Linked DNA regions of Schizosaccharomyces pombe. The gene in region 2 interacts genetically with the main gene of each other region. Each region holds a gene or a part of one and is shown on either strand. Other genes may lie near its edges. The genes, in order: nap1, eri1 and cti6.

What was found.
Region 1: mutations in eri1 (region 2) and nap1 together harm fitness more than expected from each alone (negative genetic interaction), as found in Schizosaccharomyces pombe (one large-scale study listed by BioGRID).
Region 3: mutations in eri1 (region 2) and cti6 together harm fitness more than expected from each alone (negative genetic interaction), as found in Schizosaccharomyces pombe (one large-scale study listed by BioGRID).

What each region holds. Positions count from the first base shown.
Region 1 is NC_003421.2:472,769-477,899, reverse strand, and holds nap1 (histone H2A-H2B chaperone Nap1), read left to right. Parts: upstream 1-2,238; 5' UTR 2,239-2,328; coding exon 2,329-3,510; 3' UTR 3,511-4,302; downstream 4,303-5,131. Other genes in the region: GTPase regulator Vps3, read left to right, coding at 1-1,854.
Region 2 is NC_003423.3:1,318,649-1,323,892, reverse strand, and holds eri1 (double-strand siRNA ribonuclease Eri1), read right to left. Parts: upstream 3,174-5,244; 5' UTR 3,154-3,173; coding exon 3,074-3,153; intron 2,997-3,073; coding exon 2,889-2,996; exon of another isoform or gene 2,828-2,888; coding exon 2,422-2,827; exon of another isoform or gene 2,360-2,421; coding exon 2,060-2,359; 3' UTR 1,942-2,059; coding exon of another isoform or gene 1,851-1,941; 3' UTR 1,807-1,850; coding exon of another isoform or gene 1,598-1,806; 3' UTR 1,435-1,597; coding exon of another isoform or gene 793-1,434; 3' UTR 678-792; downstream 1-677. Other genes in the region: protein Mis19, read right to left, coding at 1-162; ERMES complex subunit Mmm1, read left to right, coding at 793-1,434, 1,598-1,806, 1,851-1,941; transcription factor TFIIH complex subunit Tfb4, read left to right, coding at 3,400-4,210, 4,273-4,355.
Region 3 is NC_003423.3:511,988-516,803, reverse strand, and holds cti6 (Rpd3L histone deacetylase complex PHD finger subunit Cti6), read right to left. Parts: upstream 2,650-4,816; 5' UTR 2,589-2,649; coding exon 2,251-2,588; intron 2,081-2,250; coding exon 1,877-2,080; intron 1,833-1,876; coding exon 1,100-1,832; 3' UTR 851-1,099; downstream 1-850. Other genes in the region: rps29 (40S ribosomal protein uS14), read right to left, coding at 69-77, 150-249, 301-362; vacuolar amino acid transmembrane transporter Avt5, read left to right, coding at 4,338-4,816. UniProt on the Schizosaccharomyces pombe protein: Could be a component of the RPD3C(L) histone deacetylase complex (HDAC).

The DNA.
Region 1 (5,131 bases), on a different chromosome or scaffold from region 2:
GATCGCCAAATATTTAGTAAATTCTCTGCTGTGAATACTGCGTCTACCTCAAAAACTTCTGATACGATAGAAAGGGCTTCTTTTAGCAAGCCTTCATTTATTTTTCTTACGAATAAATCTTGGGGGTTTGGCGCTGAAGCTCATTTTATGAACAAACTAGAATTCAGTATTACCATAGGCGATATTGAAGCCCCTCTGCGTCGAGTGAGTAAGCGATTGCGGAATCCGAAGAAGTATGGAATAACCAATGATGTCGCTTATCTTCAATCTGCTTATTTGGAGCAAATCTCGGCATTACAGTATTGGAAGCAAGGACAGTATGAAAATTCTCTCTCTTTGCTTGAAACTTCCAAAATTGATCCTCGCGTAGTTATCTCCCTCTATCCAGATCTCTATCATTCGGAGCTTTCCTATATTGCTTTTCAAGGTGTCATTAGTTTTCGCAAAAGCATATTGTCCGTCGATGATACTGTTGCTAATGTTTTAAAATCTAATGAATTGTTTCGTGATACTGATCAATACACTCAGAGACAAATGATTGAAATTACTAAGGAAAACGCATACATCATGTTGATGCGTTATCTGAAAAATTACAAAAAGAACACGAGCATATCTGAGTATCTTTTATCTTCGCAAAGAGACGTGATGCTTGCTGTAGAGCATTCGTTATTACTCCTTTATTTAAATATGGATGATTTAGCCGCCGGTACCAAAAATGCTAAGGAGTTGTTAGAGTCTGGTCTAACTGGTGTTGAAGATATAAAAGATGTGTTGATACAGAAGAAAGAGTATTATTTACTCTCCGTGTTATTGGCTACTGTAAGGGATCACGATGGTGTTCTTCAAACTTGGAAGAAATTAATAACAGGGGATTATGAAGATCGGAGATTCAACGATGGGTTAATTAAAATACGAGAATATTTGGTTAATGATATTGAGCCTTCGACATTCTGGGAATTTACTACATGGCTTTGTAAACACGATGCAACGGAGGGTACGCGCGTTTTGCTTGACAAAACAGTTAGTGGATCCATTTCTGCAGAGGACGTGTTAGAGCATTTGGATTCTTCTCAAGATGATGTTTTGATTGATTACCTTGTAAAGTCGAATTCCGTCACTCATCGAGCGCTACTTTTAAAGTTGTGCGTTAATAAGTTGCTTGGCAGTTTATTGGATCATAACGATTTTAAAAATCGCCTTGAGACTGCCATTGAAACATTTAGGGAGCTTCCTTGCATGGAGAAACCTACGTATGCCCAATACTTGGAACAACTTTGGGGGGACATGAGTGATTTCAGTACTCATCTTTCATTTTACTATTTGTGTTCTATTAATCTGATGGAAAATGTTGAAGAAGAATCTATAGATAAAATAAAAGATATTTTGTTCGACATTCATGTTGACAATTTATATCTATTTCCTCAACTTGAACACTCGTTTTACAAAAGGAAGAAGAATTATGAAAAAGCTTTATCCGTTTTGGTTACGAATATTCATGACTATAAGGGCGGTGAAGCATACTGTCTTCAAATTGATGATGTTTATCCTCAGTGTTGGTGCAATTTGCTCGAAAAATGTATATCAACAGGAGATGGATGTAGTGATTTTATTAAAGAACTATTGTATCGTCGACCCTTTTCTTATACGCTTTCCTACGTGTGCGAGCAAATTCCAGATCATTGGAATCTTAACTTATTAGCAGATTTTTTGTGTATATTGCAAAAAAGAAATGCTGAGCGTTTGAATGAATCCCAAACTCGTTTAACACTTGAGAAGTCGTTGTCTCAAAATTTGGAAGAGTTGTTCATGGCTATTAATCGTCGTAATGTAGCCTTGGGCAAAAACGAAATTTAACCCAGTAACATTTAAAAAGTAACCTTTGGTTCAGCAAAGTTTTTACCTCAATTTTCGATACTTATTCGACTGATGTTTAATTTAATGATAGAATAATTTCAATGAGACAAAAAGATTCTAGCTTCAAAATGTTGTTAGAATATAAAGGGCTTTCTTCTACAGTTAATTCAGCTCTTCCTGATCTTTACTAGTCTTAAAAATATAAATAATATTAACTATGAGCCTAAATTCATCGAATTTTATTTTTAAAAACCCCCTTCGGGAATAAAGAAAGTGTCCGTAACACAACGATGCACTGTTCACTAAGGTCGGAAACCCCGAGGATGAGCTCGGAAGTTCCGCGGGTAGGTAGATTCCCAGGGTGCAGCAAATATTCTTACACTTAGCTTCTACCACTACCCTTCCCAGTGTTATTAAAAGGACGTACGGAAAGCGTCTGAAGCATAATTGATTGCTGGAACAAGTAGAATTAATATGGTAGAGAACGTTAATATTAATAACAAAAGGGCCGGAAAAATGTCTGCCGCCCCAACTCCCCATAACACCCCATCGGGGACGAGCGCTCCCAACTTTGGTGCGAAGGCTCCTCAAGTAAATACTATTGACGAAGGAGATGAGAATTTAGAGGCTATCGACGGAAAATTGGGTTCTTTATTACATCTCACTTCAGAAGGAGTTTCAGAATTGCCTGAAGCCGTGCAAAGAAGGATTTCTGGACTTCGTGGTTTGCAAAAGCGATACAGCGACTTGGAGTCTCAATTCCAAAAAGAGCTGTTTGAGTTGGAAAAAGCTTATGCAAAGAAGTACGCACCTATTTTTAAGAGAAGATCTGAGGTTGTTCGTGGCGCTGACGAACCTACCGAGGAGGAAATTAAGAAGGGTGAAGCTGCCGATGAGAACGAAAAGAAAGAACCTACTTCTTCTGAGTCTAAGAAACAAGAAGGTGGTGATGATACTAAGGGTATTCCTGAGTTCTGGTTGACCGCTATGAAGAATGTTTTGTCTTTGTCTGAAATGATTACTCCCGAAGATGAAGGAGCTTTAAGTCACCTTGTGGATATTCGCATTTCCTATATGGAAAAGCCTGGTTTCAAATTAGAATTTGAATTTGCTGAAAACCCATTCTTTACTAACAAGATTCTCACCAAAACTTATTATTACATGGAGGAATCTGGCCCGTCCAACGTTTTCTTGTATGATCATGCTGAGGGCGATAAGGTTGATTGGAAAGAAAATGCCGATTTGACTGTTCGTACCGTTACTAAAAAGCAACGCAATAAAAACACTAAACAAACTCGTGTCGTAAAGGTTTCCGTTCCTCGTGACAGTTTCTTCAACTTTTTTAATCCCCCAACTCCTCCATCTGAGGAAGACGAAGAATCGGAGAGCCCTGAATTGGATGAATTGTTGGAACTTGACTATCAAATCGGTGAGGACTTCAAAGAGAAACTCATTCCTCGTGCCGTTGAGTGGTTTACTGGTGAGGCTTTAGCTCTTGAAAACTATGACGGATTCAGCGACTTAGATGTTGAAGAGGATGAAGATGATGTTGAATCCTCTTCTAACGAAGAAGTTTCCGATTCCGATGAGGAGGACAGTGATAGCAAGCACACTGCTCATGGCCAGCAAAACGCTGCTGAGTGCCGTCAGCAATAAACAATTTCGATAATGTGCATATATTATGGGGTTAATAACAATGGGTTTTCTGTGTTTTGACTAAAGGAAAGATACTTGAAAAGTATGATTCTTGAGGTTTTCATGCAACATTTGTAAACCTTTTGTTGTACAGGATAGGTTCGGACCACATGTGAGTGCTTGCGGACGAGATTCTGCAAGTTTATAAAGTTTTTAAATATCTTCCAATTTATCGAGTTTTTTTCGTTTATCAAATAAAAATGCTTACAGTCGACGTGTTTTATTTTTTACTGGAATTGGTGGTTTTGAGATGAATGGCTTTAAAAGACCTAAACGACATCGTCTACATAATGGGAGGTGTGATCGTTCTTGGCGAATTTTCCGAGTTTCTAGTTTGAGTACGAAAGCCTTTAAAGATTTTGGAATGCTTATATTTGATCAATCATGATGAAAACGCTCGGACAAACTTGGACGTTTTAATATTTTCTTGCCTTTTTTTTCAATCAAATGCTTGCGAAAAGAACTAGTGATAGTTTTTTATTGTTAGTTTAGACCAAGTTGAAAACACTGACTGTAAAAATTGACCTTTAGTAAAGCTTAAAAAAGAGAACCCTTTTTACGAGCTTTTCTAGAAAATAATGCTTTGTTTTGACTTAGAAGTAAGCAATTGAGAATTCATAGTATGAATGGGTTGCATCCTAGTTAGTCTACTCTACCCAAGAAGTTGGGAAGGTATAACTAAACCCGATGTGTTTACATAAAAGGCTATTTCGAAAGAAATGAGTGTCAAAGTTTATCAAAAATACGATTTGTTTTTTTTTCGTTTTTTTAGACATAAAGAAGCTTGCAATTCTTGGAGTAAGAAGGAAACTAAAAAAATGCGGAGCGCATTGTAAAAGAGTGTTCGGTTGTTATAGTAAGTTCGTCTAGCGTTTAACAGATACCAGTTTTGTTTTTTAAAGTTAGAATCATCAAATAATGGAGATGATTACAATTGGGATGGAGGATTGCATACTACAATTTATCTTAGTCTAAATTTAAAGCATATTTGACATATCTCTTACAACATCTAATATTTTAATTTTAATACTTGCCTTAAATATATTATAGCTTTTATAATTTTCGACTTAGACACTATGCCTGAGTGGTTAAAGGGACAGACTAGAAATCTGTTGCGGTCTCCGCGCGCAGGTTCAAATCCTGCTGGTGTCGAAAATTTTTGGCAATTTTTATATTGAAAATTCTTTATATTCATTTGCAACTTAAGAATGTTTTTAGTATATAATGCAAAGGTCCTAAATAAAACAGCGTCCAATTTGATGGAATGCGTTTAGTTGTATAATATTGTTGCAGCAATTTGGTGGACTCAAAACACTGAAAGTCAATTCAAATTTAACTAAGCTCATGTGATATATCAGATTTGTTTGATTTATTATTTTTCCTCGTAAGTTTTAATAAAATGGATTCTACAAATGATCTATCAAAGGTACAAAGAAATAAAATCCAGCTAGCTACTACTAAAGGAAACAAATAATTTTAAAGTAGGGAAAACACACAAGTTATAGTAAATAAAAAAGAAAGAAAGAATAAATAAATAAATTAGTTGGGATACAAAAATAAAAACACAATTTTTTAATAATTA
Region 2 (5,244 bases):
CACTCTTGGTTTCTGATTTTCCGTTGGTATAAATCTCCGTCTTTCCAGTCGTTTCAATATGGCGTCAAATTGCTGCAAATTGTCCGGAATTTTTGTATTATGAAACACATTATCAAATGCAATCTCAATTGCTCTTGCTTTTTCTAACGGCATTAAATCCATTTGCTTAACATTTTAATAAAATATCACAGACGGAGAAACTTTCGAAAATTAGGTAGTCCGTTAATATACGAAAGAAAGAATAACTAATTATTGTCGTTTATTAAAGATACTTTAACTAATACTCCTTTTGGAAGAGTAAAACGCGTACTAGTGTATTTCCTACCCTTGAGTATGAGCATGCCATACACATGTGAAGAGTACAAGAAAGTAATATTCTCTTATAATTTCATAATGTAATATATATTATCATAAAGGATTTATATATCTAAAGTCAATAATTTGATATAATTAGTTGCTTTTCTCAAACAAATCATGTTATTTAATGAATTTACTAATAATCTTTTTTAATTGAAGTCCATTAGTTTAATTAGTTGATTTCGGTTTTGGACTCAAACAAATAGGCTCAATGAACTCTGTAATTGCAAATGCTACGTAGACCACCTACAAGAAAGAAAAAAAAAAAATATATATATATATTACAGAAAGCCTCAACTTACTAAGCAGTTAACTCTTGTATTTGAGACGTTTAATTTATACTCTTCTTGTAGAGCGAAGACTAATTTTTCCGTTTACGGTTTTGATTCTCGGGATTAGCGAATTCGAGGTATTTTAGTATATTTATGAACAAAAATGATACACCTGCCGCAGGGGAGTTTTACACAAGGACTAATAGTTGGACAATTGTTGACACTGGCCATTATTTATGTGTTTTTGCGGTTCTTTTTATTTTGTAGTCCAATTCCAAAGTCTGTAGCAAACTCTCCAAAACAAACGGGGAATGAAACACCTGACGAGACTCCTTCAACTCCTTTAAGTAATAACAAAAAAAGGTACAAAAAGCCTCTTACTATCCTTGAACCTCATATACTCAATCTGCTTTACGATGTTAATGAACATGAGCCGGAATCATTGGATTGGTTTAATGTACTAATAGCACAAGCTCTCATACAGTTTCGCTATGATGCATGTTCCAACGATGTTGCCCTGAGAAAACTTGAAACTGTTCTCAACAAAGGTGCTCAAGACAAGTCTATGGTTGATCATATTTACGTGCGAGATTTATCGCTTGGAGACGGATTTCCGGTTTTCAGTCATTGTCGGGTTCTACCTCATCAGCATAATTCCTCACAGCTTCGAGCGGAGATGCTTGTTTCTCTGACTGACAATATTAATTGCACCGTTGACACAAAGCTTTTACTTAATTTTCCAAAGCCTGCGTTTGCAACCTTACCATTGTCCATTACAGTTAGGATTTGTAAATTTGTCGGAAAGGTAAGTCTATTTACAACCTTAATAGTATATAGTCTCTACGATTCTTTACACCCCTCCCCCGGGGGTTTGAAACATCAAGTGTTAAATCGTATCACAGTGGTATTCTACGATAGACTATTTTTTTTCGTCTTTTAATAACGGTCTTTTCTAACATTTGTCCTAGATTATGATTTATTTTTCCCCAAGCAATGGTGCAGGCCAGCCTGCATATATGAACTTGTCATTTGACCCCAATTTCGTGATCTCGCTACAAGTAAGTTCTCTTGTGGGAGCTAGGTCAAAGCTTCAAGACATTCCTAAAATTACACAATTGATCGAATCAAGGATTCGACAATGGTTTACTAATCGTTGTGTTTCTCCTCAGTTTCAACAGTAAGTGAGAGTATGAATTGATTCATACTAACTAATTCCCACAGGATCGCAATTCCCAACCTATGGCCAACCTCTGCAAAAGAAGGACATGCGAGGTCCCATGCACCTCAAGAGGAGTCATCTAATGAAGATTAAACATTCTTTTGACGTAATTTTCGGAAATTTTTTTTATCTATGAATTTTAACGATAATTTATCTCTACCAGATTCCACGAAATATATTGATTATGAAGTCGAAATAAAAATTTTAAGCATTAGCTTGCGAAATATGGCGGGTAACTTCGATTCGGAATCCAGCCGTTCTTCTCATATTCCATCCACCACCTATTGCATTCGAATTCTACGTTTTCCGAACACATTTTTTTAACAATTCGTGATAAATTCCTCGCATCATCTATTCCGCGATGCTCGCTTCCCTCAAACTGAAGACCCCAATGCTCTAGCATTCCATTAATATTTGTGCGTGGAACGCGATAAACGTCTTTATAGAAAGACCTAATATCTACGAATGGTCCTTTGATCCAGTCAGGAATTGGCATTTTATCATATTTGAACTGATAATACGATTTGTTAGCGAAATGTGAGACAAACCGAACAAAATTATATTAACACTTACTTGTTTGGCTAAAAAGGACGCCATATCCCAAGGACCATCACAAGCCCAGGCCCAATTTTTGGGCTGTGTTCTGGGTACGGACTTTAAGGGTTCTATAATCTCAATTTCATCAACTGAGGGAACTAAAATATTGGAATGTTTCCGCAAGAATATGAATAGTTCTTCCAAGACATCTGAGAAGATAGGCGCTTTATCAACAGTGCATTGTTGAATTCCTGTCAGTGATTTACAATAGTCAGACAAAGTAGGATTCATGGATGGGCGAACGTAAGAATGAAATTCGTCGATTATGGATTTTTCTATTAAATCGAATAGAAGACATGGTAATTCTATGATCTCGTTTTCGAAGCTAAATCCGCAACCTTCTTCACATGTAGCTTCGACGTCCACAATTAGCAAGTATCGTCTACAAGTATTCAGTTACTGTTAGATAGAAAATGTTTAAACAATTGATGATTTAACCCTACAAACAAGTTTTGTTTTCATTACTAGTAGAAAACTTTTGATAACGTTCTTGTTTTCGTTTTTCTTCAAGACGTTTTTCACGAAATTTCCATCGCCGTTTCAGTTTTTCTCTTTATACTGTGTAAATAATTAATTTATATAAACTCTGAGAAAACGGACTAATTGCTTCTCAATTTCAGTAACATACTTGTTTCCATTCGTACTCAACCCAAGTTCTTGTAGTGCTATACGAATTTCTTCTACCGTAGACGGTGTTTTTTGGTTCATCTCGTCACATGGAAAAGGCCAAACTAAAATCTGCACTGGCGACTCCATAAATTTTTTATATTTTTGGAATTACTTTACCTTTTATTTCATTAGATAAACCATTTCATTATAATGGAATATAAATGTTTTTGAAATAACACTGTTTTGTTGGCAATCTTTTTTTGAACCCTACACTTTTTCTGGGTTGTTGTCTACCTGTATTAAAGTTGGGAAAGCATTGAGAAAAAACACATTATAAAAAGAGGGATGGATGAATTTCAAACTTTGAAACAAAATGCCTCGTGGGATATATCTGAAGACGCAAATGATACACCCAGTTTGCTTGTAGTTATATTAGACGCAAATCCTGCCTCATGGTACTCCCTTTCCAAAAAAGTGCCTGTTTCCAAGGTACTGGCAGATATTACGGTTTTTCTAAACGCACACTTAGCTTTTCATCATGATAATAGAGTTGCTGTGTTAGCTTCACACTCGGACAAGGTTGAATACCTATACCCTTCGATTGCACCTGAGCAAAAAGTCGCAGAAGTAGATCCTACCAAGGAGGCAAATACGTATCGAAAGTTTCGTGAGGTAGACGACTTAGTTTTATCTGGGATGAAGCGACTCATGAGTTCGACTGATAAAGTTTCAAGAAAAACGATGATTTCCGGAGCACTATCTAGAGCCCTTGCATATATCAATCAAGTTCAAAATAAAAATACTCTTCGTTCTCGAATTCTAATTTTCTCATTAACTGGTGATGTTGCTCTTCAGTATATTCCTACTATGAATTGTATATTTTGTGCTCAAAAGAAAAATATTCCAATTAACGTTTGCAACATTGAGGGAGGCACCCTGTTTTTAGAACAAGCAGCAGATGCCACAGGAGGGATTTACTTAAAAGTTGACAACCCCAAAGGCTTACTACAATATCTCATGATGTCGCTTTTTCCGGATCAAAATCTTCGAAAACACTTAAATACCCCAAACCAAGCGAATGTTGATTTTCGAGCTACATGTTTTTGCCACAAAAAGGTTTTGGATATTGGCTTTGTTTGCTCAGTTTGTCTATCAAGTAAGTAGTAACAAAGCTTTACGATAGGCTTTGAACATTTGACCTTTTGCTAACCTCTTTAGTATTTTGTGAACCACGGGTGCATTGTTCTACTTGTCATACCAAATTCACGGTAGAACCTATGTCAAAAAAATTGCACACTTGATAATTCGTTATATTATTATTAAACTATATATTTCTTTGTCTCACACCGGGTGTACAGCTTTATCATATTTGAAACCCTGTTTTTCATTACCTAAATCTCCTTATCCTGGTGATTTGTACAGTCTAGCTCTTTTTTTTTGGCGATTTTTACTTTCTGGCATTTTGATACACTTGAAATGTTAACATTTTTCGGAAGGATCAAACTATTTCCTTAAGGGGCATCCACAAGTAGAAACTTAACGTATAAGCAACTAATTCATTCCAACGTACCCTATTATTATTTATTTCCTTAGAGCTTCTTCTATTATTTCTTCAAGTTGCATTGGCTTCTTTCTTTTCCAAACAGTGCAGTAAGACGAAATTATATACTATTCTTTAATTAATTTACTAACGAATCATTAATGTTGAAGATGCTGACAGAAATTATTTCACAGGAACTTTCCTTTCTACTGTTTATAATCTATTGCATCTCTAATGTTGGTGCTTGATCATTTTAACAATGGCTTTTTTTAAGCTTTTTTAATCAGAAAAGTTATATTACATTGAGATCTATATGAATGCAATTTATAATGAATTGGTTTGATTATTGTAGTAAGGTTACGAATCTTGGTTTTTACATGTAACTCAACCTCTGAATTTCTGTACTGAGCAATAAAAGCGCGGATTGATAATTCATACTAATAGAGCCGGTTTACTTTTATTTGCCCGAATATTCTCAAACTCACAAGTGACGACAAGCTTGAAAAAAAAAAAGTATTTTCTTAAATTCGTTTATTCTGCAATCAGATATTCATAGTTTTTAAAAAAGGAAAAATAATAAAAAGGTTGTAATATATTTGTTCTAAATCTTCAGATTTCAGACGTAAATTAGTCTGATTAACCTTAGGAGC
Region 3 (4,816 bases), 810 kb from region 2:
GCCAAAAGCATCACAAAATGATATTTCACACAAATCGGTTTTGATTCAGTATATGAATAGCCTCATGTTTAACGGTACTAAACTAGTTAATATGCTGTCGGAAACAGATGTTGCAAACTTAAAAGAAAGTTACAGCAAAATTCTCTTACCTTAACGAAACCAATGTCGTTGGCGTACTCACGGAAACTTTGACGAGAGATGTTCAAACCGTACTTGCGGATTAAACCGAGACGACGACCAGTGTGAGCGCTAAATTATGAATTAATACATCACTCGTGTATAAAAAAGATGCTTGCTTACCATTGTCTGCTGCCCTTTCCGTACTTGCGAGGGTGAGAGAACCAAACGTTTTCGTGGGCCATTTTGGTGTGAAGGTAGAGATTGTTTCAAGCGTTTCTTCTACTAGACGAAAGTCGTGACTGCTCTTCTAGGCATAGGGTAGGGCTAATATAGAGAAATACAATGCATTTCGTTATTTGACATTGTGCTCAACAATGTAAATAAAGTATGTATAGTACTATTTTTTAAGTAGAAATTGTTTTCATTAGACACTTAGTTAAAATATTTGTTCAATTGATGGAATAATCAGGATTTATTTTTTTCCTCTCCAGTACCAAGCCTTATATAACATTATATTGTAGCTGGTTTAATAGGCACTTAATGAAAGATGGATTTTCCTTCAGAAAGTAGTTATTGTGGTGTTTTCTACGTTTGATTTTTTTTTTTTTTTTTAGTTTCAAAACCTCTTGTATTTATTAAATTAGTGAGTACTTTTGAACGTTTTTACTCATTCACTTGGAAATCGGTGTACTCGAAAAACATAGCTCATTTCAAAAAATATACAAAAGTTTAACCTGTAAATAATAATAAATTATATTTCTTCAATTAACCAAACAAAAATTATATCCCTCTCATCAAAGGAACTCTAAATCTTTATCAAAATATCTATCATAAATCAACAAAGGAAACCATTAGATCATAAAAAAGTAAAAATATATGTATGTTGACATGTTCAATTGAACACATCTTTCTCCTTTTTTCTTCCTTTGCTTCTTTTTTTTAATATTACTGATGTAAATTCACACAGTACACAGCATCATCAAGTTCGACTGAATCGTTGTTCCCAATGCAATAAATCCCTGGTGAGATTGTCTACCATCCTAAGAGTTTCCTTCTCTTCTTCTGGGCCTTCTTTCGATGACTTTGTGGATGATTGATTACCAGCAGACTGAGCTGCCATTTCAACTTGAATATGTCCAATATACTCTAGCATAGAGGCAACTCTTCGCCGCATCTCAGTCATAGTGATTCTTGAGTGCAATCCCTTAGGCTTGGTTATGGTCTCTACGAACGTTCCATCCGGATGTAATTGAGGAATTCGGTGATTATCGTTCGAACTAGATTTTCCTCTTCTTCCTCCCACCTTTCTTGTTTTTGAAGGCTTCGGTGCGACAGCTGCTGGAAGATCCGCTTTGTCTTCTGCCGCTGCTTCACGTTTAGCTTTTCGCGTTGACCGAGTAGTGGTCGAAATAGAAGTAATGGTAGATTGTTGTGAGCTTTGAGGGGATGCTTCTCCAGACTCCTCTTTTACTGAGTGCTTTTCTTCATCAGCAATCTCCTCAACCGTATCTACAGTTTCTTCTTCAGGGGCATCCGTTTCAGCGACATTAGTAGTAGAGGTTTCTTTATTCTCTTCGTTTTCGTCCTTCGACTCCTTACTATCTTCTAAAATTTCATCATTCTCTTCTTCAATTTTTTGTTTTAAATTTATTTCGGTTCCTTGCGATTCATCTTGGGGAGCTGGTGGAGAAAGAGACTTCGATGAAGTTCGCCTAAAAACAGTTAGTATATCATCTATGAATATCAATGACCATACCCTCTAGATCTCCTCGGTATTAGTGACTTTTCCTTAGCAATTGCAAGATACTCTTCATAATCAAGAGCGGCGTCTCTGGAATTCATAGTAAGACGTTGCTTAGACGACTTTTTGGTTGCCGGAGATGGGGGAGTAGATGAAGATTCTTCTGTTTGACTGGCTTCTATAGGTTTTCCATTTCCAAGATACTTTGATTGTTTAGCCCTGCGGCGAAGTTAGTAACAATAGTTGAAAAACCCAATTTTTTTAATTGCTAGAAGAGAAAAAAGAATAAAATGGAGATATTTGGAAACCACTGCAATTAGTTTAAAGCATTAGGTATTCAGTGGTAAATCCATTTTAAATCCTTAAGCTCATCTGTTATCAACACTTACCCTCTGCCCCTTTGATATACTTTATGGAATTCTGGATGGCATATTTCGCAATAATATACCTCGGGAACTTCTGATTCATCAGCAAATCCCACACAGTTCCCATGTTGCCAAACTGAGCATTGATCGCACTGAATATACAGCCCCCCGTCACTAGCTTCATCGTCGGATTCGACAATTCCACAAACACAGCGGGTTACTTCTCCAGTACTCGATGTTTCATTCTCTTCATTATCGGAAACTGAGCCATTAGGCGTGTGGGGTGTGTCTACGGGAGATTTCTGAATTTTTTCAGACTCTTCCTCTTTTTCTTCATTAGCGGGAGTTGAATTACTCGGCATAATGTATAATAATCGTTTTATTAAAAAATTGTGCTGTGCGCTTGGGGAATGGTGAAGGATTGGAAGATAGGTAATACATTTACCAACTACAACATCAATGAAATATATCGCGAATTGCTGAAACTTCACGCTTTAAGTAATTAATGTATGGGAAATTTGTTTTTTTATATTCATTTAGTGATTGAATGTTTTTGGTCAAAGTCGTAATGGCACTTTGGTAATAGTTAAATAGTTGAATGGCAAAAACGTTGGATTCTAGGATTCAAGCCCAGAGGGAGACTGCCAATGCATTGAAATGATAGTTAATTAAAAAAAATTGATAAAAACCCAATTATCTTTGTAAACATAAACAGTTTAACACCTTTCATTTTTTTATAGGCCCATTTTGCCCGTTGATTTGCCCTTGACCATCGGAGAACCTGGTTTGTCTGGGAATGGTTATTTAAGTCTCCTAAAGCTTTAGCACTGTTGAATTAGATTAAGAAACTTATATGTTCATCTCAAACTTCATATAATTAAACGTATGGTTTGTTTGACCCACTTTTTATGCTATCTCTCTGTACTAATTATTATTGAAATGAGAATTGACTTGATTTGGGAATGCATATTATTATAAGCTGTATTATGAAGGTTGTGAAATCATTTCTGTAAGGTGCTGCTGCTTTTATAAATTAAAAGAGGTTTTGTAATATCGACATGATATTTGGTATTATCTCCATGTATTCGCATTTTACGATGTTCCTGCAATCTTTAGAATGGCGTATGTGCATATTTTGAAACTAAAAAACATCTTACATTTTAAAAAAGGCTTTTTCCTCGCAATGTCAGAAAAGCAACTGCTACTCGGTTCACCGGGAATTCATGAACAAAACAATGAAATTTGATTGTATTTTTCTTCGATACTATATTCAACTGACTAGATACTTATGAAATAAAATAAAAAACTATTTATATCCTTGTGATCAACGTTTGACAGTGAGAAATTGTTATAATTCTAAATTTTCTCTTTTTATTGAAATTTATTCGATGAAAAAATCAATTGTATGCTCTTCCACCACTTCGAATGCTCTATTGATATAAATATATGTCTATGAAAAATTCGTTTTATTTCTACAGAATTTACAAAATTCTCTAATTTACTGCTAATACTGTGTTCAAGTTGGTAAAATATTCGTGTGCCACAAATATCTATTTTGGTATAAATTTCTCATGTCACTCATTAATTGAGATGATAGTGATAAATATTAACAATTTTTTTAGTAATAGTAAGAAAAGAAATAATATTTCATTGCTTTTATATCTGCTGGCAAACCAGAGTAGAGCGATATCGCATCTGTATATCGTAATTTCATCTCTTTTAACAACCAAGAACGAGCATTCCACTCGTACAGCTGGGAAGGTGCTTTAATACATCGTGTACTATAATTTTTCCTATTATTTATCGGGCTTCTGAATAGATTCTACAATTTAATTTATCGAGCTGGTCTCTTTTTGTCTGCTGATTTCTATTCTACGATTTCTCAGGCGTTTTTTATTCCACGTTCTATTATTTGTTTAGAACCATTTTTTTTATATTGCATAGTTCTTATTTTCTTTTAAAATAACTTTCTTGAACGATTCTTCCAAAAAATCGATCAGTTTGCATACTCATACGCTTAGTACTTAATTGTAATTCGTAAAGTTGGTTCCTAAAAACACCAATTTTATAGCTTCCTAGATTTTTTCTCTATTCCTAGTTTGGGTTAATTTATGTCTGGGTATAGTCCTTTGTCTTCTGGACCAGCAGACGTCCATATTGGAAAAGCTGGGTTCTTTTCTTCGGTTATCAACCTTGCCAATACTATTTTGGGAGCTGGAATTCTTTCCTTACCAAATGCGTTTACCAAGACTGGTCTGTTGTTTGGGTGTTTGACCATCGTCTTTAGTGCATTCGCTTCTTTTTTAGGATTATATTTTGTTTCCCAATGCGCCGCACGACTCCCGAGGGGAAAGGCTTCATTTGCTGCTGTTGCCAAGCACACCTTTCCCTCTTTGGCTGTTGTCTTTGACGCTTCTATTGCTGTTAAATGCTTCGGTGTAGCGGTAAGCTATTTGGTTATTGTAGGCGATTTAATGCCCCAAATTGCTCCATCACTTGGTCTCTCTTCTCCAATGTTCCTTAGGCGCCAAACATGGATTGTCTTTGCGCTTTTCGTGCTTACTCCACTCTCGTTTCTTAAGAGGTTGGA